Linked DNA regions of Arabidopsis thaliana. The protein of the gene in region 1 interacts with the protein of each later gene in a pairwise test. Each region holds a gene or a part of one and is shown on either strand. Other genes may lie near its edges.

Region 1 (11,826 bases):
CTTTATCTACGACATCATCGACTGGGCTAAAACCTAGTGAATTTGAACAAGACTTTTCTCTTATTTCATATTCATTGATTCATTAGATATATATATATATATATATTATTTATTTTTGTATGAATATAATAACTAGTAGCTTTTCAAATAGTTTGAGATGATCTTTTTGCTTGGTATTGCTTTAACCAATGTTATAACGTTGTTACAGCTTCATGAGATAGATGATACTGTCAAAGAGAGCCGGTCAATCGTGAGAAGCATAAAGATCAAGGAATTTTTTACTGTGACTGCACCAATTATCATTTACTTTTTATTCAAACTCGTCAAGTAAGCCTTGCATGCATGCGCTTCCTAACCTGATCTCGGATTCTGAACAATTGTTGTGTTCACTTGTGAATCGTGGATTTATTCTTCTATTATCTGTTTGTGTGAAGTTCTTTCTTTTGCTTCCTGTTGCATTCTTGACTTGTCTTCGTTAATCAAATATGAAATAACTCTTGTTTATTCTTCATATATCCGATCCAAAACTAGAATTTCCATACGTTATTTTGGAATATTTTTTTCTAAATATTTTATTACACAAAAATTTGTTTTCAAAATTAGTAATAGTATTTCATATGATTGTGACACGATTCGCAATAGATTTCTATTTTAGAAATGTAATAGATTTCTATTTTAGAAATAAAAATAAAATAAGATTGGAGCAAACTAAACTCTTAACAATTTATATATGTGGTCAAATCTTGTATTCAAATGACAAATGGGTGGTTCACCAGATCAATGTGAATAAGAACATATAAATAAATAAATAACGATAATAATATTAACCGACATAACAGTAGTACTTTCCTACATGTTGAGCCGAAGTTGAATTTTGACATTGTACTATATCTTAGCTGTTAATAAAGAAAGAACAAAAAGTTAGAACGAAACATTTCATTGTACAATCATATATAATGTATATATGTAATGTAAAGAAATGAATAGATAAGTAACTAAATAAATAAACTTTATAAACTTGCTCTACTTTAGCATCTCAACCAATAATGTAATAGACCTAGAAATTAAATCCACATATAGTTTAAGGGACTTAAACAAAATTGAGAAAAAATGAATTTGTTTAAACCAAAATAGATATATCAACAAATAATGACTCAAAATATAAAGTTTAAGTCTCATTATATTAGACCATCCCCATAAAATAAGTCATCCATATTCATATCATATTAGTGATATTTGGGATTTTTTACGTGTCATCGTAAGCCTAGAATGAGAGGAAGAGACAGTTGCATAGCCATAGATGACTTGCCGGGCTAGCTTGGTTACACTTCTTGCCCCAACACACATATATAAATAAGTAAATACTTTTTCGTATTATATTACGTACGAAAAAAAATCAACTAAAACTATGTAGATAAGTAAATATATATAAACCATCATCTCCATAATATAAATCGAATATAGAGTAATCATAATACAAGCTACCGGCAAGTCATCCTTGGCTGAACAACAATGGCCTTTTTCCCACATTCAAGGCTTTAGATGAGACAATCCATTCACACCTTCATTTTCATTCTGTAAGATTCCCTAACCATAATTAATACTCATAATGGACGAAAAAAAAAAAATGAGAGCAAAAGAGGTGTTGTGAAAATTCTCTCGTTTGTGAATGTAGTTTTTGTTCCAAGAATTGTGGAGATAAATAGCAAACGAAAAAAAAACATTTGGAGAAAAGATGAAGAGATCTTTCAAGTTTGTATGTGGCATTGTCTTGCTCTCTTGAAGTATAAGGTGTATCGTACTTATAGATCTTTCTACCAGTTTCCAATTGCTCATTAATGTTTTGGCTTTGCTGCATAGGCTCGTCTTCCAATAGCTTCGTACATTTATGACAGTTTTATATGTTCATAATTAGTCTTCAATATATTATAAGTTTATATTCTAATTCCTCGAGAGAGGCATGAATCATGCTATATTATAGATTTAATCCCAGCAATGAAAGGTGGATATATAATGCACGTATGAGGAACTTTACTATTATACTATATATGCACATGAATTTATTCTGGTTGTTTTTGTAATATTATTCAAACTAACCAACCAAAGAACGAAAAAATTAATCTTTAGTATACTCATGACCTTCTATTTTACTAAACTTAACTTTTTTTTTCTCTTGTAATAAAAACTTGTCACGTCATAAATCATAATATACTGATATATGATAGACAAACCAAACTTTAGTTCTCTTGCAATCTAAAATGAATTTCAACTGATATGTTTTCTTATAAACATTGAAATGGGTACACAACTCTAACCAGTGGAGAATTGAAAAGAAAAAATAGTACATTTGTATACTATTTAAGGGAAGTACTGACAATGGTATAAAGAAGGAAGTGTGTACTTGAATAAGTTATCGAGTTATGTGAAGTCTTTATCATACAAGTACACTTTTACATATTTAATTTAATAACTCACATTTCAACCAATAGAAAGTACAACTACATTATTTTTTCTTTCTCTTTTAGTTTTAGCTCCTTGTCCACTGTTCATGTTTCACTGGGATGATTTTCTCTAGAAAGCAATCGTATATCCTTTTTCTGCAACACTGCTGTTTCGTCTGTTGTATATTGCAATGCTTCGGGTTCTCAAAGTATAGTAACGCAAGGCGAAAAAAAAAAAAAAAAAAAAAGTATAGTAATGCAATTGTTAATAAAAAAAATGATTTGACTATCTTCTGATCAAAATTTAAATAAACATAACTATATATACATCTTCTACATTATAACATTTCTTAATCTCGTGTATTGTTGTTTTTTTCTTTTTGGTAGTTCATAAAGCATTAAACGTTGTTATAGGATCGATCAGATCGTTACTTGTGATGGTTGAGGTGGATATTCCTTCCAATCACAGAATCCTAATCATATCAGTATAGTCATTTTCTTGTTCTCTAAAGTTCTATAAAATAATTGATTTATTAGTAAATGTAACAATCTACGACATTTAAATGTCTTAATTCGAAGATTAAAGAGTGATTTATTTTGGTTTTGGGATAAAACTGAAAAGATTGTGACCCACGTCGATTGCAATCTGCAACTACTGCCATCAATAGATGATTTAGTCAATTTTAAAATTAATCACTATTTGCAACTAAATAAATGTTGATCATGCGATAGCAATATCCTAATGGCTAGTGATGAAGTTATAAATGGTAAATAATGGCCCCTTCCCTCCTACTTTTCAATTTTGGAAAAAATATTATTAATTAATCTTTTGAAAACTTTAGAGCATCTCCAATGAGTTTAAAACATTAATATGATGTTACATATTGAGTTTAATATGTATTCTTATGGTAAAATATGTATTCACTTGAGCATGTTACATATTGGAATAATTATCTGATTATACCATCTGAATTTAACTTGAAACTTTGTACATACGTAGGAAAAAAATATCGTGTTGTATAAAAGAAATCTCCAATGGAGTTTTTTATTATATATAATTAATGTGTGGTTAACAAAAATAATATAAAAATGAAATACATATATAACATTAGAAATAAATTACCAAATTCGTAAATTTTAATTAAAGAATCATTCAGGTGTCTTTAAAAAATAATTTGAACAGTACTATACAAATGCACAAATTTGGAACAATGCTACATACACATAAGAGGAGTGTTAAGGTAGCCAATGGCAGTGATTGTGAGAGGACCAGGGTAGCCTGCCTTCTTCAACTCCGATTCTATAGAGTGAGCGACCATTCTAGCATCATAACCATCGGGAACCGGACAGCTGTTGATGTCCCACCACACCATCGTTTTTGGCTCCTGCTTCGCCTCGTTCGTATTTCTTGAATCCATGGTTTTCAACATACAAATATCAGTCATCCTCAAAATTCGGATTAACAAATCGCTTCTTTACTCAGATGAAATCACCGACCGATGGATGGTGCGGCGGAATAGGGCAAGTTACACATGTTTACCGATACTAGTGGCTGTTTTATATGGGCTCAGATTCGTGGCCTATCATCAATGCCTGGAAGACACCTTCCAAGACTCGGATGTTCTCTACAACATATCGATTTTTCTTCAGATATCCACGGTGCAATGTGTTTTTGTCCATTTATTTGAATGGATCCTACATTTAATCAAAAAAAATATCATGTGAATTGATTTTCCAACATCAAAACTACATGACAAAACATTAACGCTTTAGTACTAAATACAAAAAAAAAACATACCTATACATAGCACAATAGCAGCAAATAAAACAAAAGAGACAACATTTGTTTTAACCATCTTTCTCTTTTTTCTTTGTTAAATCAAAAGATTACGAATTTTTGATATTTTTGTATTTGAATGAGAATGAAGAAAGAGTTGTTTCGTATTTATAATTAGAACTCTAACTCTATTCAAGCGATCCTTCAAATTAACATTAGTAAGGAATACAATATATTTGGTCAACCAAATTAAAAACATGTTTCCAAAAAGATTAGATTCCAACTTTGACTACATTATTACAAGATATACATGACTTATTTAGATAAACGTATTTGGTAATTTGCAAGGTAAAGCAAACAATTATTTTCTAAGGGTTTATTCTGTCAAGAGATATGATTAGATACTCATTCATTTCTCAATATTCCAATTCACTAGTTTAGGAAATTATACTTATTGCATAATCTTGAGGCTCACGCGCCTACTACTTGTATATAAACAAGCTCAATATCTCTTTGTGAAATATATCAAACATACATCTTCTACAAATTCCAAAATCAATGGGCAATAAATAGATTTGTCTAATTAAAAAAAAACAAATACTGATATGGGATTCTAATAGAAAAAAAAGAAAAATATACATTCTATTTACGCGCATTTAATCCAAGGAAAATGTTGATCTTCACTATATATAATGTCTATCAAATTAATTCTCTTGCGAAGGACTCTTTGTTTGCTTTCAACCTAGACTTTGTCTAAGGGAGTGAATATCAGTAGTTGCAAAAAAAAAAAAAAAATCATGATTGAAATATTGTTCAAGTTGTATCTAAGTAACTACGAAAATATGCTTAAACTGATTTTTCTTTTATAAATTATTTTATAGAAATTTTAATATGTGTTTGTATACTTATCAACATATTTTCACATGTTTTTAGAAACTAATTGTAATAACAACTCGATTCTAGCATCTCTTTATTAATTAACTTTATCGATTTAACTAGACTTTATATCCTATGGATTTAAATGGTTCAGATAATTAAGAAATCCACCCCAAAACACTTGGATGCGATTCTATCGGAAAAGATCGGATCAACTGATAAGAACATATAAATAAAAATTAAAGTTTATTAGCTAGTTTTTTTTTTTTTTTTTCACTGATGAACAAAAACCGTGGAACCAATGAAATTCGTATAAATGGGCTTCATAAGTGGCCCAAGCCTTGTTCCTTGAAAGGGCAGTTCTGCCATAGCTAATTTTTTTTAATCAAGCCCAAATATGGTTTGTCCGTAAATGAGGGATTTCCTTTTACCCAAATCCACCGGAAAAGTATTAGAGACAAATACATCATCTCTTAAGTAATGTTTCATTTGATAGAATAATAACTTGCGGAAATTTTCTTTAAGAAACACATGGCTTGGGCCAATTCATGGACTTCAAGCCCATTTACACTAATTTCATTTGTTCCACGTGGCTTGTTATCAGAGAGAGCAAGAATTCTAAAACCTTTCCCACATAAACCGTCGTCCGATGAAACTCTATAACCGTCAATAACCGCCGCGATTTGAAAAATAAATACAAAAATCTCATTCTCCATTAAACCATTTAACACAACATACGAAAAACTGGTAAATCACAAAAGAAAAAAACAGAGAGAAACACACGAAAATGGAGAAAACAGAGGAAAGCGTCGGAATCAGAGTTTACACGGCGACTCCGCCGCAAAAACCATCACCATCACCACCTTCTCGTTCACCAAAACCCGTCTTAATCTCTTCATTGCCTTCCCTCCCGTCAGGAGCCGCCGCTGGAGGAGGAAGAGGTCGAAAACGTCGCATGGTGGCGCAAGGAGTTCAAAAAACGGTTTCGAAGACATCAATGCTCGTCAACTTCCTTCCGACAGGAACACTCTTGATGTTCGAAATGGTTCTTCCATCAATATACCGTGACGGAGACTGTAACGGAATCAACACACTCATGATTCATCTCCTCTTGCTTCTTTGCGCAATGTCTTGTTTCTTCTTCCATTTTACCGACAGTTTCAAAGCATCCGATGGGAAGATCTACTACGGTTTCGTGACGCCACGTGGACTCGCGGTGTTCATGAAACCGCCGCCTCCAGAGTTTGGTGGCGGAGATGTTATAGCGGAGGCAGAGATTCCGGTGACTGATGATAGGTATAAGTTGACGGTTAATGACTTTGTTCATGCAGTGATGAGCGTTTTGGTGTTTATGGCGATTGCGTTTTCGGATCGAAGAGTCACGGGATGTTTGTTTCCAGGGAAAGAGAAAGAGATGGATCAAGTTATGGAGAGTTTTCCAATAATGGTTGGAATTGTTTGTAGTGCTTTGTTTCTTGTTTTTCCGACCACTCGATATGGTGTTGGTTGCATGACTGGTTAATTTATTTTCACTTTTCTGTTTTTTGGTTTGTTTTAGTATCTATTTCGTATTTTCCTTGTAATTTAGATTATCTGATTTAAACTCCAATGTTCTACTATTTTTATCTATTGTATTGTTAAATAAAATGTTGTGTTGATTCTATCTAGACTTGTTTGATAGGAGGAGTACATTATGACGTTAGTAAAAGCTTCCTCAATGCAGTACTTTTTTTGTTAAGATCTCAAACTATGCAATTAATTACCAATTGAGTCCGTGATGTAGTGGAGGCCAAAAAAAAAAAAAAGAGTCCGCGTGGGCTTTGTCCTTTTTGTTGTGTAGGCATGTCATGTTGGCCCAAAGTCTTAATCTCCACGTTGTGTTTTGTATCTATTTTATTTAGATTAGATTATGAGTTCTTTAGATTTGAGCTTATCAACCCCTGAGTTGTATAAGTGTTCATTGTCTTCAGTTTCTGATGAATTGATAGGATTAAAAAGTGATTTTTTTTCATAACACGTTCCTTGTTTCGGCACTCTTTCAAAGATATCAACATAGTCAAGAAGACGAGAAGGTCCCTTGTTCATATCCCGCAATTCTACAAAGAACCAGCGTTATCAAAGACTAACAAGAAGAAAAGTGACAAAATATAAGATTGGAAGAAAGAAGAAAAAAGAGAAGAAGAAGAAATTTCAAATATGTGAGGGATCGAACAAACCAAAATACTAGTATTTATATGGTTATGCTTTGATATCATGTCAGAAAATTCATCAGTATGAAAAGAAAATTCTTAATTTTATTGATTAGCCAGTAAAATTATCTACATAAACACATAACTTGATCTACAAATTTTCTATAAATACGAAGATAAAAAGTCTACCCAATTAGCAATAATGAAATGGAGTTTTGTTTTTCCTAGTAACGATATGAAAATTTATTCGAATCAATCTTGTATTGTAATATTCGAAATTTGATCACCATGTTTTCATTAAGCAAAAATTCTCCGTTTTCACCAAGAGTCACTTAATGAACTTAGCCAGCTTTTACAATATAGTTCATTCAAGTTCTTTTTTTTTTTTTTTTACAATATAGTTCATTCAAGTTCTTTTTTTTTTTTTTTTTACAATATAGTTCATTCAAGTTCTTTTTTTTTTTTTTTTTTACAATATAGTTCATTCAAGTTCTAATTCGAGAATGTTCAAGTCATGTGATATATCAACGAGACTTGTTTTTATACGAAAAATGCTAATTTTAATAAAACAAAACTCAAATAACGTTTCTTTAGTTCGGGGAAACAGTCGAAAAATGATAAAATATGTTTCCTAAGAATCTTTATCAGTCGTGCCTCCAAGTGGGGATAATATAATAAATGTAATGAAAAAACTTTATTATATAGTATATATTTGTGATTTGGGGTGGTCTGAAATAAAGGTACTATATACTTATCCACATAATTGCACTTTTTCAATGTTAGACTTGGCGTTCAATTACTTCTTATCCACAATATTGCACTTTTTCCAAATCGACTTGGCGTTCATTAGTAACCACAACTTCTAACATCGACTTATTACAGCCACGTATCTCTGATATGTTGAAGATTTTATGACAAGAATATAGGCAAAAAAGAGGAAAGAAACTGAAGATCCACTATATAGTAAATACTTGTAGCTTCATTTAAAAAAAAGAAAGTGATTTCAATGTTAATTTATTTTTCCTACAAGTACCAAGCTAAAACTGTAACTAAATGACTATTATTATCAGCGTAAAAAAACACATACTCCTTTTGTTTTTTTTTTTTGATTTTCTAGAAAAAAATTGTTTCAAAAAGATTGATTTTTTGGTTTTCAATGCAATATTTATTTAGTTATAATTGATAAATTGTAAACTTCAATAAGAATTATTGAATATCATTGGTTTAGAGTTATTGAAAATTATAAATTACAAAGAATAATACATTTAAAAGCAACATTTAATATGTTTTCTTAATATTTGTGTTTTTCCTAAAAAATCAAAGAAAAAAGAACACAAGGAGTATCAATCTGTAAAATGGATTTGTTTGAAGACAAAGATTGGTTTTTTTGGGGATAAAATACTATATTTTTTTAGTATTTTAATTTTTTGTTGGATCTTCTTAGTTCTTTAAAAATGAGAAAATTAATGTTTATATCATGTAATTTGTTTCTTTCATAAATATGTTTTTTTTTTCTTTCTCTCCAAATCTAATCATGATATTGTTTTCCATGGATATGGCTATTATAGAAAGCTAGGAATTAAAAAGTGTTTCAAGGTTTTAAATATGTTTTTTGTTTGTTACTCTAAAGTTTGTTTTTTCTTCTGAAATTTCATTTATAAACAGTAATTTTTTAATAAATGTGTGGGTAACAAAAAATTTATTGACATAGTTAGAATTAGAAAACATGTAAATTAGAAGTTAAATGGCCTTTAATCAACCATTTTTACATTAATTTAAAAAAATTCAGACTTTTAAAATAAAAAAGTTAAAAATGAAAAGAAAAGTAAAAGTAAAAAAAAGTGCTGACCACTGACCAGATTGAAAAGGAAAATAAAAAGAAAGCCAAAAAGAGACGAAAAAGAGAAAAAAAAAAGTCCACAAAAACAAAAATAAACTTGTGGCTAAGAATCCTCACGTGTGATGACGTGGCACTCTGGGCGAATCAAAAGGTTGTACAATTCGAAAGATCACAAACCCAAAAAGCAAAATCTGTAAATCTTTTTTCTTTCTCTCTCGCAAAGACAAAAAAGCATTCCCAATTAACAAATCTAGAAATCAAAACTCAGACAACCACCGATAACAAGACAGTCGTTTCTCTCTCTCTTTTAAACAAATAAAAATTGGAACTTTTTTCCTCTGTCTTCTCAAAAAGTTTCCGCTTTTTGCTCGCTGGAGAAGAAAGAAAGAAAGAAGTGAAAAGGAATCATTACCATGGCTGATCCGGCGATTAAGCTCTTTGGAAAGACGATTCCTTTACCTGAGCTTGGTGTTGTTGATTCTTCTTCTAGCTATACCGGATTTTTAACCGAAACTCAGATTCCTGTTCGGTTATCAGATTCGTGTACCGGCGATGATGATGATGAAGAGATGGGTGATTCCGGTTTAGGACGAGAAGAAGGTGATGATGTTGGTGATGGTGGAGGAGAGAGCGAGACTGATAAAAAGGTTAGTTTTTTTTGGAACTTGTGAATTGATTTTGATTTGTTAAATGGAAATGATTGATGGGTTTATGTTAGATTGGTCAAATCTTAGTTTTATTGATAAAGTTATGATTTTTGGTTTGTTTATGTAAGAACTAGGTTTTCAGAGCTTTTGGGGATTCGAAAATTGTAAATCTGGATTCTCAAATGAGTTTTTTTTTTTCCTTTTGTTATAAAGTGATTTGAGATCTTAATTAGTTCCATTTGGTTTTGATTGATGGTTATAGGTTTTGATATTGATTTGCTTAAGAACTTTTCAGGGTTTTAGCTTCTCTGTGATTGGAATCAAGTCTTTGATCCCTGTAGCTTCTAGCTTCTGTTTGTTGTTTGTTTGATTAGGATACATAACAACGATCTGACTCTGGTTCTTATGTTATTCTTCAGGAAGAAAAAGATAGTGAGTGTCAGGAAGAGTCATTGAGGAATGAATCTAATGATGTTACTACTACTACATCGGGTATAACTGAAAAAACGGAAACAACAAAAGCTGCAAAGACGAATGAAGAGTCAGGTGGTACTGCTTGCTCTCAAGAGGGGAAGTTAAAGAAACCTGATAAGATTCTACCGTGTCCGCGATGTAACAGCATGGAAACCAAGTTCTGTTACTACAACAACTATAATGTTAACCAACCTCGCCATTTCTGCAAGAAATGTCAGAGATATTGGACAGCTGGTGGAACGATGAGGAATGTTCCGGTTGGTGCTGGGAGACGTAAGAATAAGAGTCCAGCTTCTCATTATAACCGTCATGTAAGTATAACATCTGCGGAAGCTATGCAGAAGGTGGCGAGAACTGATCTTCAACATCCTAATGGTGCAAATCTTCTCACTTTTGGCTCTGATTCTGTGCTTTGTGAATCTATGGCTTCTGGATTGAATCTTGTTGAGAAGTCATTGTTGAAGACACAAACTGTATTGCAAGAACCCAATGAAGGCTTGAAGATTACGGTTCCGTTAAACCAGACAAACGAAGAAGCTGGAACAGTCAGCCCGTTACCAAAAGTTCCATGCTTTCCAGGACCACCACCAACTTGGCCTTACGCTTGGAACGGAGTTTCGTGGACGATTTTACCGTTTTACCCTCCACCGGCTTACTGGAGCTGCCCGGGGGTTTCACCGGGGGCATGGAACAGCTTCACATGGATGCCACAACCCAATTCACCATCTGGTTCCAATCCAAATTCTCCTACACTAGGTAAACATTCACGTGACGAGAACGCTGCTGAACCAGGAACCGCTTTTGATGAAACCGAGTCACTTGGTAGGGAGAAAAGCAAACCCGAGAGATGCTTGTGGGTTCCCAAGACGCTGAGGATTGATGATCCAGAGGAAGCTGCTAAAAGTTCCATCTGGGAAACATTAGGGATCAAAAAAGACGAAAATGCGGATACTTTCGGAGCTTTCAGATCATCAACCAAAGAAAAAAGCAGTCTTTCTGAAGGAAGACTTCCGGGAAGAAGACCGGAGTTGCAAGCGAATCCTGCTGCTCTTTCTAGGTCAGCAAACTTCCATGAGAGCTCATAGAAAGAAGAAGAATCTAAGCAGCTGATTTGATTGTTTTTGGGTTCAGTCTTGTGTTCCAAGAAAGCAGGTGAGTCCTTTTGTACATATAGCTATATATACACACACATGTTTGTGTATATATATATAATGGTTGACATAGTGAGGGATAAGTAGTTTTTGGATTGCAGAGTGAAAGTTTGTTGTATCATAAATGAAAAAACCTCAAAACTGTAGTTAAATAAATGTATCTTGCATGAATAACTTATTTTCCCTATCATGACATTGTATGTTCACAGACAAATTCAAACAAGTTTAAAGGAACGTTTATAGTTATCCACATGATGTATGATTCTCAGAATCTTGAGAGTGATCTAACTTATTGGACTTCAGTAGTAGTGGCAGCAACAAGCTTGTTTTCGGCATCCGCGGAGGAGCGAACCACTGTCTTCAACTTCTTAGATGACCGCGATGTCAAGTGTTTACCATGGTAAATCAGGTTTGCTTTAGTAGATGTGTAG
Region 2 (14,136 bases), 8.2 Mb from region 1:
GAGGACAGGAGTAGTAATGTTTCTTTAACGAGTATCCTCCTTTCTTGTCTTGGCTCGTTGGGCTGATCAAGGCCTCACGTGTCTTGTACTCATCCCCGTGCGCTCTCATGTGCATCCTTAGATTAGCGTCTCTCTTAAACCCTTTCCCACAAATCTGGCAGTAATGCGTGTATTTCGCTAGTAGGTCCGCTACGTCTAGCTCCAGTATATCGTAGCTCCCGGAACTTGGTTTAGAACGATGTTTATCTTTTTTAGGGTTTATGGTTTCGGTGTTGTACCAATCAAGATTCTGGTCGGGAAACGAGATCTGCCCTCTTTCTTGGACACCAAAAAGGTTGGTCGACTCTTGCACAAAATCATGACCCGGGTCGGTTTCTTGTCGGGAAAACTCCAAAACCATTGCATCTACGGTTTGATCATTATCGATATCGTTGTTGTTGTTGTTAGATCCGATTTGGAGTTGTTGGCAAGTATATAACATGGATGAAGCAGCCGTGATGATCTCTTGAACCAAACTTCCGATGTTAGCCACGGCCAAAGACGTTGACCCCGAGGATTGGTTAATGTTATTAGTAGATACCATGTAGAAGCTGACCAGAGATTGGATCTGATGGACTTTTTCATGTAAGGTAGATAGATTGTATAGAAGAGAGAGTGAAACGTCGTCGTCTTCCATTGATTTCGTCCCGGTCGTGGTCACGGGATTAACATAGATTTGTTTTGAGGAAGTACTGGTCTCCCCGGAGAAGCTAGAGATTGATCCTTCAACTTTCTTTGCAATATGCTCATCTCGATTCATCATATGTATATGCATGTATATGAAGAATCTAGCTTGAGTTTTGTTCTTATATTTTCTTTGGATTTTGTTGAATCTTTAAATTCTTTGTGGTATATTTGTTTCATATATATGCCAGACGGTCCAGACTCTAGAGAGATGCAATGAAGAAGACACCCTACCCTCTACCGTATAAAATACTCGCGAGTTGTGACATACATTCACACAAAATAACACACACAAACAAATACATGTCACACATATAGTAATTTATTTTTTCGTTTCACTTTATCAAACATCTTAAAATCGGAAAGATTATACTAAATTGAGTAAAATTTGAAAACTAAGCTATTGAACCTAACTATATTTTGAACCTTGCAGTTTATTAGTGATTTAAAATCCAAAAGATATTTTGATCCAAACAAAATATTGTAATTAAAAAAAAAAACATTCTAATTGATATATTATGTCAAGTAATGTTTTTTTTTCTTAATTTAGAAGTTAGAATTTAAGAATTTTATGTTTTCTAGAGACGGGACACACGTTAGGTTACATTCATCTGTTTTAGAAAGAAAAAAAAAATTAGCGGGGGTTGATGAACCCTTAATCAACCATTGGGCCAAAGGACTTCCACAACTATATTTGTTTATGTTTATGTTTGATTTTATTTAAAATCAGATATTTAATTAAAGATTTACAAAGATGTTTTAAATTAAAAAGACATCTAGACGTTTATAAATATACGATACATAGAAGTTGTAAATAATGTCTTTTTGTCAATAATGACAATAATATGCAATATACAGATTTTGATGAACCCGGATGCTGGCAAGAGAAAACGCTAGAAAAGTTCAATAGACTAAGTTTTTGTCGTCATGAATGATGTTTTTTCTTCTCTCTAAATGCATTTGTCATGTATATGAATTATTTACATTAGGTTGAAAATGGAATAATAGAAGTATGTGATGTGGTTAGGATTAACTTGGAAGTCAACTCGAGATAGCAAAAGCGACCATCCCCACATAAATCCTCCCCCGGATGAAACCTTAACTAGACTTTGTCAGCTACATCTTATGAGTTAAATAAACGAAGAAGGTCAATCCCGATGTAATTAAAGAATGATTAACCTAAGTCAAGTGTTAGTGTTCTTTCATGGCCTTTTCTTGTATTGTTCTATATACAATACGTTCTGTAACTGTCAAGCTCACATCTATATAATATCTTATGTCAAATCCAATCCTTTAAAAAAAAAGTTGCGACTACATTCAGTTCTCTTATCTGCTTACATGCACACATATTTTTTTTTCTTTTCATGCACACATATTTGTACACGCGTGCATATACGATTATATGATTGGATCTTACATGAAATGTTTATAATGTGGCCATCGGCATGAGTTGCAATTATATTAAATAAATATTGCTTATGCGTGCTCATTTTTTAATTTCGGAAGAAGTAGTTTTGTTGGTGACTAATCAAAATTTCTATGCAGTGATGATGATATGGGTGATCAATGCTGTTTCTTGGGGTTAGCTTTGGTGAGTTACGTTACTTTTTGTCCTTTAGAAGAAAAAAATGCCACGTTAGTTAACGCTTTTTAAAAAAAAGAAGTTGCTGCTACCATTACAGTGACAGTGTATTCCACATGCGATTCTAGTAGAGTTTTTTAGTTCTTTTTGCTGGGAACCAACCTGCAAACCACATTTGTAAATAAGACGTTATTAAACCAGACTTCACTAATATAGGCCAGTCGAACTGGCTCACCACAACATGGGAATGTAGGATGACATGAATCTCTGAATTACAAATGTCATGTATATAATTACCCTCAGTTTTAAAATGCTACACCAAACAAATTCAACTCAACTACTTTAATTTAGTTTTCAAGTTTCCAATATGTGACCAAAAAGTGAAAGCTAACAAAAACAAGACCTTTGCGTAGCTGGGAGTTCGAACTCCACTTTCCCTATTATTACGTACTTTGTCAAATAAAAAAAGAAAATATAAAGAAAAAAAATACACAAATTTCTTTTGGAAAAATTATGCTTGCTACCCAAGCTAACTATTTTTGAATGAGTTTTAAATTGCAATTTCAAATTCCTCCAATCTGATCACCGGGACGTGAGCAAGAACACGGGATCGGAGATGATTACTCGTCATCATAATCTGATGATCCATCGGAATCACCGGAGAAATAGAGGCGGCACGTGGTATCGCCAGAAGTTGGATTGTAATTTCTTTCTTCATGACCTTTGGCAATTTGTCTGTTGTAGTTTGCTCAATTACCCGTAAATTAGCAGAATTAAGTTGTAACCTGTAAAAACTAACAGTAATCAGACAATCCTTTAAAATATATATATTTATGTCGCCGGCCAAAACCTGTTTCTTGTTGGTAACGTTTGCCCATTCATTATTTACTATTATTAGGGTTTTAAAACTCAGATGATCACTTGTTCTTTAGATTCTGTTACCTAAACAGTAAAAGAAGAATTAATTCATATAAAAGATCCAAATCCTTGTAATCCTTCTCCGATAACACATTGCTCCTGGAATCTTTTTTTTTTTTTAATTTGTTTCATTTGAGGGTTCATCATCATCAATGGAGGTGTTTGGAGATAATAAGATGTTTTACATGAGAGACACATGGAGAGAAGGAACCATGATTTGTGACGTCTTACCTATCAACCCTAGCTCCAATGGTGTTTGGCCGCAACAAAAATTCTCAGATCCTAACATCAATGTTCATTTCTGGAATTACGCGTTTCCACACTTGCAAATGATATTTCTCATCATCTCTTTCTTATGGCAATTCTTACATTTCTTCCTTCGACGTCTTGGCATGATACGTTTCACTTCTCATATGCTTGTAAGTAATCGAAAATCTCGATTTCGTTTTCTTGTTATCTGGATTTGAAATTTGAGGTTTGTGTTGATCTTTGTTTGTAGACTGGTGTTCTTTTAAGCAAGTCTTTTCTAAAGGAGAATTCAGCAGCGAGAAGATTCTTTTCTACAGAGGATTACAAAGAGATTGTGTTTAGTCTCACTGCTGCTTGTTCTTACATGATGTTCTGGTTCTTGATGGGAGTTAAAATGGACACGGGTTTGATCCGAACCACAGGAAGAAAAGCTATCACCATTGGGCTCTCCTCTGTTTTACTTTCGACGTTAGTTTGTTCCGTTATCTTCTTCGGAAACTTAAGGGACGTTGGAACGAAAAACTCAGACCATACTCTCAATTCATTAGAGTATGTTGTGATTTACTCAATCCAATGTCTTTCTTCTTTCCCCGTTGTTGGAAACCTTCTCTTTGAGCTCAGGCTACAAAACTCAGAGCTTGGTCGTCTAGCGATATCTTCTGCTGTGATAAGTGATTTCAGCACCTCAATTCTCGCTTCCGTTCTCATATTTATGAAGGAGCTCAAGGACGAACAAACACGGCTCGGGAGTGTGTTTATAGGTGATGTTATTGCAGGGAATCGTCCTTTGATGCGAGCAGGGATAGTGGTTCTCTTTGTATGTATTGCCATCTATGTTTTCAGACCGTTAATGTTCTACATTATTAAACAAACACCTTCCGGTCGTCCCGTCAAGGCAATCTACTTAAGTACAATAATTGTTATGGTTTCTGGTTCAGCCATTCTTGCCAATTGGTGCAAGCAATCTATTTTCATGGGACCTTTCATCTTAGGTCTTGCTGTTCCTCATGGTCCTCCTTTAGGTTCTGCGATCATTCAGAAGTATGAGTCGGCTATATTCGGAACTTTTCTTCCGTTTTTCATTGCTTCATCTTCCACGGAGATCGATATTTCGGCTTTATTTGGTTGGGAAGGTCTCAATGGTATTATACTCATCATGGTAACATCTTTTGTCGTCAAGTTCATCTTTACTACTGTTCCTGCTTTGTTCTATGGTATGCCGATGGAAGATTGCTTCGCTCTATCTCTTATCATGTCGTTTAAAGGCATCTTCGAGCTCGGTGCCTACGCCTTGGCCTACCAAAGAGGGGTATGTAATTATGTATACACACATAATGAAGTTCATAATCATAATTAATCATTTCAATACAAAGTTTATCTTATGTTTATGCTTTGAACATTGCAGTCTGTCCGTCCCGAGACCTTCACTGTGGCGTGTCTTTACATAACGTTGAACTCCGCAATCATTCCTCCGATCTTGCGGTACTTATACGATCCTTCGAGGATGTACGCGGGGTACGAGAAGCGGAATATGCAGCATTTGAAACCAAACTCTGAGCTAAGGATTCTGTCTTGCATTTACAGAACTGATGATATAAGTCCAATGATTAATCTTCTTGAAGCTATTTGTCCGTCCCGGGAATCTCCTGTAGCTACCTACGTTCTCCACTTGATGGAGCTTGTAGGACAAGCAAATCCGATCTTCATTTCACATAAATTGCAAACTCGCAGAACAGAGGAGACGTCTTATTCAAACAATGTACTTGTCTCCTTTGAAAAGTTTCGTAAAGATTTCTATGGTTCGGTCTTCGTAAGCACCTACACGGCTTTATCTATGCCCGATACGATGCACGGAGATATATGTATGCTTGCTCTCAACAACACTACTTCTCTCATACTCCTTCCTTTTCACCAGACTTGGTCTGCTGACGGATCAGCTCTTATCTCTAACAATAACATGATCCGGAACCTTAACAAGAGCGTTCTCGACGTGGCACCTTGTTCTGTCGGAGTCTTTGTATACCGAAGCAGTTCCGGACGGAAAAACATCAGTTCCGGACGGAAAACCATCAATGGCACAGTTCCAAACTTATCATCTTACAATATTTGTATGATCTTCCTAGGCGGTAAAGACGATAGAGAAGCAGTGACACTTGCTACACGAATGGCCCGTGACCCAAGGATCAATATAACCATTGTTCGACTGATCACTACCGATGAGAAAGCACGAGAGAACACGGTGTGGGATAAAATGCTTGACGATGAACTTCTTAGAGACGTGAAAAGCAATACATTAGTAGACATTTTCTACTCGGAGAAAGCGATTGAAGACGCGGCTGAAACATCGAGTTTGCTAAGATCGATGGTAAGCGATTTCGATATGTTCATAGTGGGAAGAGGGAACGGAAGGACGAGTGTGTTCACAGAAGGGCTTGAGGAATGGAGTGAGTTTAAGGAGCTTGGTATTATTGGAGATTTATTGACTTCACAGGATTTTAATTGCCAAGCTTCTGTTTTGGTTATACAACAACAACAGCTAATGATTTAGGTTCTTATATACGTACATAATCATTTTGCAATTTTACCATTCTTTTCATTATAGACTTAGAAATTTAATTGTAAGAAGAATATTTTTTTTGTAAATTTTATTTAGACCATTCAAATGTAACTTTTTGGAAAATCCACTTAGCCGATCAGTTCATCACAAATATAATCGCATAAGGTTTTGCGATCAACAACTATATTAATCTTTATATTTATAGAAAATCATGTTTATATTAACACTAAAACAACATAGAGGGAAATAGAGAAACTGGTCAAGATCGAACATATTTATTTAGGTTAAAATAGTTTGAAATTTCATGTTGAACAATGTAAGAAATCGAAGTAAAATACAAGACATTTTCACTTATTTTTCGATCAGTTTCACTGAAACCTTTGTTGTGCTTGAGCTCGGATGAACAATGGAGATATCTCACGTTTGAATTTTTCTCTTACATAATCTGTGTTTTAGAAATCATTGGATATTCATAGGAGTGGTTATAGAACTACATTGTGCACATTACTCGTATTTTTTTTCATTAAAGCTCAGGTGAAATTTTCAATTTTGTTATTTATTTATTATTATTATTATTATTTTTTTAATTTTTTAATTTTTTAGCAGTAGTGTTTGCTTCAACAAAGCGCCAAGATTTAGATATTTGGAATAATTCTGTGCAAATTAACTGTGCTAAGTAGTACGAAATGGATTATTTGCATACATTTAAAATACAATTTTAATGAACACTAAATTTAGATAAATCAATAATTAACTGGCTTATCAATGTATTCCAACTGCGTCAAACTCATCTTTGTATACTATGTTAGAGCAGAACAACTCATCTCTCAAAAATACCGGATTATTGATTTGATATATACTATTTTAGGAACAATATATGCATGAGTTTCTTACTCAAAAACAATTTGGTAATGAATGGATTAACCAATGTTGTTTAGATCAATTATATTAAATCTATTTCCACGTCAAATGTAAATTCTAACATTTACCCATGATGCGAGTATAATTCAATTTTTTTTTTTGAGATCATTCACTGACATATGTTACACTCATCCATGTTGTTGTTGTTGTTGAACTACTAAAACAGAAACCCTAGCTCTTAAATCTTTGGATGCAAGCAAATCTCCGATGACTCCTAACTCCGGAAGCTCCATCCACTGTGCCAACCCTGTTAAGTCCAGCGAATAATCTTCGTGATCTCTTCCTACAATCATCAAATCATGGTCTTCCGCCACCAATCTAACGGTGGTGGCCACCGCAGGTCCACCGTTGACTACCTTCTCCATATAGTTAAAATTGTTGGCCAATGAATATGTCGCTTTCAAATCATTCAAGACCTCGTCGTCAACAAGGTAATCCCAATTCTTGGACTTATCTAGTTCTTGACCAGACAAAAATCTGATAACAGTAAGACACACTCTCGAGTTCTGTCCCATCCATTTCGCAAGGGAAAGCGCCTCACGATCATCTTTACCACCAATGAAGATCACACCAACGTTAATGATACTGTTGGTCTTTTTCTTACCTTTATTATATCCTCGGTAGTTAAGTATGCCGACAGAACATGGAGCGAGGTCAAGGAGAGATTCATTAACACGTCTGATCATAATATCGTCTGATTCATATTCTCCATCGGGTGACCATTTTCGTCCCGAAGGGACAATGATCATCGATGTGAGGTGGTCTAAAGCAAGATTGCAAATGTCTTGATCCATTAGGTTCTCATGAGAATAAGCTGTGAAGGAACTAACAGTGGTAGATTCCCAATTCTCTTGTTGAAACTCGGTGAACGCGAGCATCATTGTTTGTATGTAAGAGTTTTGAAGCAACCGCGCTTTAGACCGCTTGTCATGAGGTATCAAGATGGGAAACGTACGTCCTGCGAGTTTCACTAGGTGTAACGCCGTGACAGCAATGACTCCTCTGTCTTTGTTATCGTTGTTTAGCGGCGAGGAAAGCAATTCAAGTAGCGAGATCGCACCTGAGATGTTGTCAGGCTTGTGCAAACAAGTTAGAATCTTGAGATCTGAGTTTGTTTTAAGATGCATAATGTCTCTCTTGACATATCCAATATACTTCCTCTTTGGATCATATAGTGCTTTTATAATCGTAGGCAAAATCCCCGCGTTCAATAGCACGTAAATAATCATGACCGTGTACGTTGCTCGCGACAAATTCTGTTAAAGAAAACAAAAAACATTCAACCATTAATTCAAAACCATATGATGCAATATATATACATGTAGAGTGTAGGTTAGATGAAGATTATTTTACCCTTCTTCTTAAGGCGACATCGAAGAAGCATAAGTCAACAAAACCCTTATAGTTCATGATAGTGGCGATGATAACGGATTCTCTAGTAGGTAACTCGCAGAAGATCAAGCAAGGTACAAAAGAGGCAGTCCATTTCACTACCACTGTAAGACCCAGTAGAAGTATGTTAAAGGAAATGTCATCGAACGAATACAATGCTCTTACAACGTCAGCTTTCATCGCCATGACCGCGATTGAAATAGGGAAAAATATGTTTGTAACCAAGCTCTCGAACCTTGCCTCTAACGCAGATCCCAGAGGCGGACCGTCTGGGATTGCCAACCCCACCAATAAAGCTCCTAGAATGTACATTTGGTTGAAAACACTTAAGTATATACTCGCGGCGATTGCGGTCAGGATTGTTACGTATAAGTAGACTTTCGGTACGGGCTTGCCTTCTGGGGTCATGTCCACTATTCGTTGTGCCATTGGCTTGAAGATGAATAGGATCACAAGGACTAAGATGATCAATGCCACTATGTCGCGGTTGGCTATTCCGGGCGATACATACCTGCAGACCGTTTCAAACTATTATAGCAAATAATGTTCGTTAGATAGTAGATATACATTACTAATCAAACACTCCGGTGCCGTCTATTGTGTAGATAACAATTAGTATTGCTTTATAGACAATAAAACGGTAACTTTTCGTTGATCAAACTTTTAACCAGTTTTAGAGCATTATATATATTGCTTTAGGTCTCCGGATTTGTAGACTTTGATTACTACAAAAGTATATTTAATGAGGTAAGTAGTTTTGTATGCAAATGCACCAATTAGATTCCTAAATTAATCGACGTCTTACATACCTGTATGTTCCAACGTAGGAGATGCATACTAGAGTGAGAAATCCAAGGAAATCGCTGACGGCGGCTGTAGATATGGCGATGCGGCCGAGCTCGGAGTTTGACATCTTCAGCTCATATACGAGGTGGGTTATGACCGGTAACAGCGTTACTGCTTGAATCGATACAATCACGGAGCGTTCTGTTGGGGCTAGCCTCAGAGGCATATAAAGAGGGTCGACCTTGTCGAGACGGAAGTTTCTGAAGGCTAACCCGCTGATCATAGTCACGAAAAAGGACGAAACCGCGATTACTATCGGACGTTTACCGATTTGATACACCGCTCTCTTGTTGGTCTTCACGCCCATTAAGAACGTGAACATTACCAACCCAAGCCTGGCCACACCTTCCAACGCTACGTTTCCGGGGATGTCTAACGATAATCGGTCCGATGAATACTCCAGAAGATCAAGCAGCTGAGGTCCAAGAATCAAACCAGCCTAGTTCAAAAAAAAAAAAAAATTGTTACTTGCAGTACAAGAAACCAAGCGTTTGGTACTTGCGATACAAGAAATTGACAGTTGTGGACGTTTTTCTTAACTTACAAGTATGTTGGAGACGAACCGTGGTATGCCAATACGTCTGAGGAACATATGAGATAAGACGATGCAAACGAAGATGAGAATGATCTGCAGCTCAAGGAGAGGCAATGCATATCCGAAGATAACAGTAGGAGTTTCATATTTTTCCATGATTCCATAAGAAGAGATGTTGAAAAAAGTAGCTCCGTAACAAATTTCAGCTTTGCTATGAGGCGGTGAAGGCCCAGGAACTAGTGCTTGAGAATCGGTCATGATGATGACGAAGATATGCTTTTGTCAAACTTGTAAAAGATCGATTTCGTTTTTTTTCGCTGATAATTTATTCTTAACGTCAAAATATTCAACAACGTAACGGTTTGTTTTAAAAAAAAAACAGTTGCTGTTGTTTATCAAATAGTTGGCGCCCCCCTTTGACTAGTACTTTTTGGTTGCGAAATAATTTTGTTACGTTTTGGTCAAACTTATCAACAAATAAATGATGATACTTAGGCACTCTAATCCTTTCCTAAAACTTGACCATTTTGGTTGACCAAAAAAAGAAAAAGAAACTAACCCATTTTACCAAATACTTATTTTATAACAAACCCAAAAGATAAGCCCAATCTAAGCCCATTGAAGATCAAATATTGAGTTGACACTACCTACTAATCTAACTCAAGAACTTAGCCCACAACTTTAACACTACTAATATCAAACTTCAAAAAAAAAAAAAAGTATTCCATAGTGTGTTTTAGTAGAATTTATAAAAGAGTGGACCCAAAAAATTGAGTCATCAAGTTGGAGGACATATCCATTATCCAATCCTATCCTGTTTTCTGCTTTTTAAAAACAAGACATGACATATTGACATTGACCCACACACCACAAAAATTTGTTCTTAATGACCCGCCAAGTCGCCAACTGAATTGAATCTTAAACCGAGTGTTTCATATGTTATTAACTTTCACTTAGTACATTAAACTTTTTCTAATAGAATATAAAAAAATAACTTTCTTTTTAATGCATAATTACAAGTAAGATATTTTTTTTAACAAAAGTCCGACAACGAATCTCTTTTCACTTTTCATTTTCAATTTTTTTTACCTCTAGTTTTCTCATTAATGTTGATGAAATTTGGCTCTGACTAATTAACTATTATGTATTTTATTTAAAATTAACTATTATGTAATTTTTTATTATTTAAAATTATGTATTCTGCTAATGAATTCCAATTAGGAGTAAACCATAAACAAGTGGAAAAATATTTCTGTTTATTAAGAAGAAAATTTATATTTAGCAAAAAAAACAAAAACGTTAAAACCTTTTTAATAATGAGTATGGGATTTGTTGATTAGGCAAAATAAAAAATCTGGCGTGTTGCTGAGTCATCACTCATCTTCATATAAATAAATATCATCAACATGATTGCTTTTTCATCTCTGCAACTTCCTCTGTTTCTGATTACCAAACGTCGTCAATACATTTCTTCAAATTACGTTTCTTTTATTCTTTCGTTACTCTCAACAAATTTTGATATCTGATTGGTGTTGATTCCAAGTAAGAAAGATCAAAACTTTAGGTAAAGTATGGATATGGGTTTCCATGAAAATGAGCAAAATCAAGAATTTGCGAATCTAATGGAGATTGGATCTGGGCATTACGGGTAAATAACATCTTTTGAGTTTCTTTTGAGTTTTGAAGCTAAAGTTTCATTTTTTTTTTTTTTTGAATTTGATTATCCTTGTGTGTGTGTGTTTAGGTGTTCACATTATAGAAGACGATGCAAGATTAGAGCACCATGTTGTGATGAGATTTTTGATTGCAGACATTGCCACAACGAAGCTAAGGTAGAAAACTAATATTAAAGGAATAGTCTTTTTACTTCTCTGTCTTTGTAACTTGTGTGTGTGTGTGTGTTTTTGTGAAGAACAAGTTTTGGTTATAGATGTTAATGTGTTTTGTTTGTTTCAACAGGATTCTCTTCATATTGAACAGCATCATAGACATGAGCTTCCTCGACATGAAGTTTCAAAGGTTTTTAACTTTGAACATTCTGGTTTATGAACATTTTGATTCTGTTTATTCATTGTGATAACAATTTTGGTCTACTTTTTTTCAGGTCATATGCTCGCTTTGTGAGACAGAACAAGACGTGAGTATCTACATTTTAGATATACAAATTCTATTGGTAAATATGTTTATTGATGTAGAAGAGACCTGTAATTTGTTTTCTTCAGGTTCAGCAAAACTGCTCCAATTGTGGTGTATGTATGGGGAAGTACTTCTGTTCAAAATGCAAGTTCTTCGACGATGATGTAAGTTTTGTAATTGAGTTATTGCTCTTTCTATAGCTGGAATTAGTAGTAATGAGACTTAATATTGGTTGTTTCAGCTTTCCAAGAAGCAATATCACTGTGATGAGTGTGGGATTTGCAGGTATAGAAACTGGCATTGTGATTTTTGCTTACCTATTCAAAAAAGAATCTGTTGATTTTTGGTAACTAATTATTGATATGTTATCTCATGATGTTGGTTTAATAGGACCGGAGGAGAAGAAAACTTTTTCCATTGCAAAAGATGCCGTAAGAGACAAAACCTCATGTTCTTGTTTCTACAAATTCTCGTGCCTTTCTTTGTTTGGAGATCTTATTTTGTTTTCTTAAAACAGGATGTTGCTACTCCAAAATTATGGAGGACAAACACCAATGTGTTGAAGGCGCTATGCATCACAATTGCCCGGTTTGTTTTGAGGTATAAGAATCAGATTCACCCATTTCTTAATGCAACATAATGGTTTCTTACAATTGAACTTGATGTGGATGTATTTGTTCTCAGTATCTGTTTGATTCAACAAGAGATATCACTGTCCTACGATGTGGTCACACTATGCATCTAGAATGCACGAAAGATATGGGGCTACATAACCGGTAAAAGAACTCTCAAATCTTTTATGCAACCCATGAATGAAGTCATTGATAAACAAAGATTAAAAAAATTCTTGATGCTTTGTGTAGATACACATGCCCTGTATGCTCCAAATCCATATGTGACATGTCTAATCTGTGGAAGAAACTTGATGAAGAGGTGAGGTTTCTTGATCTGATGTTCGGTCTCCTTGTATAGTCTCTTATGTTTCACTAAGTCTTACATTCAAAATTTTGCAGGTTGCTGCATACCCAATGCCAAAGATGTATGAAAACAAGATGGTAAACCAAAATTAAATTCGATATTTGATTCTCGTGTGTGTGTGTGTGTTTGTGTTATGTACACTTTCTGATTTGGATTTAAATGTGATGTGTTGAGTCAGGTATGGATTCTCTGCAATGACTGCGGCTCAAACACGAACGTTCGGTTTCATTTGATCGCGCATAAATGCAGTAGCTGTGGTTCCTACAATACAAGACAGACACAGAGAGGCTCTGATAGTCACTCTTGCTCCTCTGGAATGCCTCAGGTTGTTGGTTCAACCGGTTAATTTTTAACCAGAGCTGGTTTTGGTGTCTGAATTTCCCATGAGGAGATTATTTGTACTTTCTATAGTTTGGTATCAGTCAATGCCTTTGGTTGTTAACAATTATATCATCACAGATTCAAAAGCTGCTTTGAGCCAATCCAACTTGCAAGTCTAGACCATTATAGCCCAAAACAACCATATCTTGAAATAAATTATATATATTAATGTTTAAATAAGTAAAATTTTGGTAAAATCAGTATAAGAATGTACAAATATGCCTTATCTTTTTAACACAAATTGAGATAGAAATTTTTGTCGAATTTGCACATTTTCATGAAATCTCTATAACTCTATTTCGTTTCTTGATCAAGTGAAGTTAAAATCCTTTCTTGTTGTGGACATAATAACTTGAAGCTATTGCCCAAATAATATACTGAAAGGTAAATCAATCCAATAAGCCATGAGTGGACTGTCTATTTTTTGACACAGCTTAACAACTTATGTTAGTGACATGGACAAGAAGATCCGGTTCTAGATCTTGAGGACCTACCCGAACCGACAATGAAATGGCTTTTGGACCATTTGGTTGTTGGGCTTACCAACGACTTCTCACCCATTTCCCCCAAACACAAAAATATTTAAATAAAATATCTCAAAAGTTACAAATCATCAAGCACACCCCCACAAGTTACATTATGAAGACAGGAACATAACATCATACATAGAGAGAGAGAAAATGAAGCTAAAGTCTTGAGCTTTAGATTTAACATAATCATCCCCAACTGATAGTAGAGGGAAAAATCATAGAGTACAAAAGAAACCCCTAAATTAGTTTCACAATCATGGAGCCAAAACATGAATGTAAAATTGGGTTTTTGGGGTTGAGATACAAAACCCAACAACAACAACAACAAAAATAGCAAGCATAACTAGAGAAAGAAGTAAACTAGCAAACTCTCTCACTTAGTATTAAC

Evidence for each region.
Region 2: the proteins of DAU2 (region 1) and CHX9 interact in a protein complementation assay, tested with the Arabidopsis thaliana proteins (one large-scale study listed by BioGRID).

What each region holds. Positions count from the first base shown.
Region 1 is NC_003076.8:15,869,384-15,881,209, forward strand, and holds DAU2 (transmembrane protein, putative (DUF679)), read left to right. Parts: upstream 1-5,741; 5' UTR 5,742-5,881; coding exon 5,882-6,616; 3' UTR 6,617-6,733; downstream 6,734-11,826. Other genes in the region: AT5G39630 (Vesicle transport v-SNARE family protein), read left to right, coding at 209-331; AT5G39640 (Putative endonuclease or glycosyl hydrolase), read right to left, coding at 3,656-3,886; AT5G39645 (Defensin-like (DEFL) family protein), read right to left, coding at 4,009-4,136, 4,240-4,297; CDF2 (cycling DOF factor 2), read left to right, coding at 9,537-9,770, 10,190-11,329. UniProt on the Arabidopsis thaliana protein: Involved in membrane remodeling.
Region 2 is NC_003076.8:7,653,849-7,667,984, forward strand, and holds CHX9 (cation/H+ exchanger 9), read right to left. Parts: upstream 9,982-14,136; coding exon 9,733-9,981; intron 9,628-9,732; coding exon 9,152-9,627; intron 8,854-9,151; coding exon 8,304-8,853; intron 8,207-8,303; coding exon 7,079-8,206; downstream 1-7,078. Other genes in the region: AT5G22890 (C2H2 and C2HC zinc fingers superfamily protein), read right to left, coding at 1-814; CHX3 (cation/H+ exchanger 3), read left to right, coding at 3,376-3,642, 3,723-4,781, 4,878-6,020; AT5G22920 (CHY-type/CTCHY-type/RING-type Zinc finger protein), read left to right, coding at 11,295-11,371, 11,468-11,555, 11,683-11,742, 11,828-11,860, 11,946-12,023, 12,101-12,144, 12,250-12,290, 12,377-12,459 and 4 more. UniProt on the Arabidopsis thaliana protein: May operate as a cation/H(+) antiporter.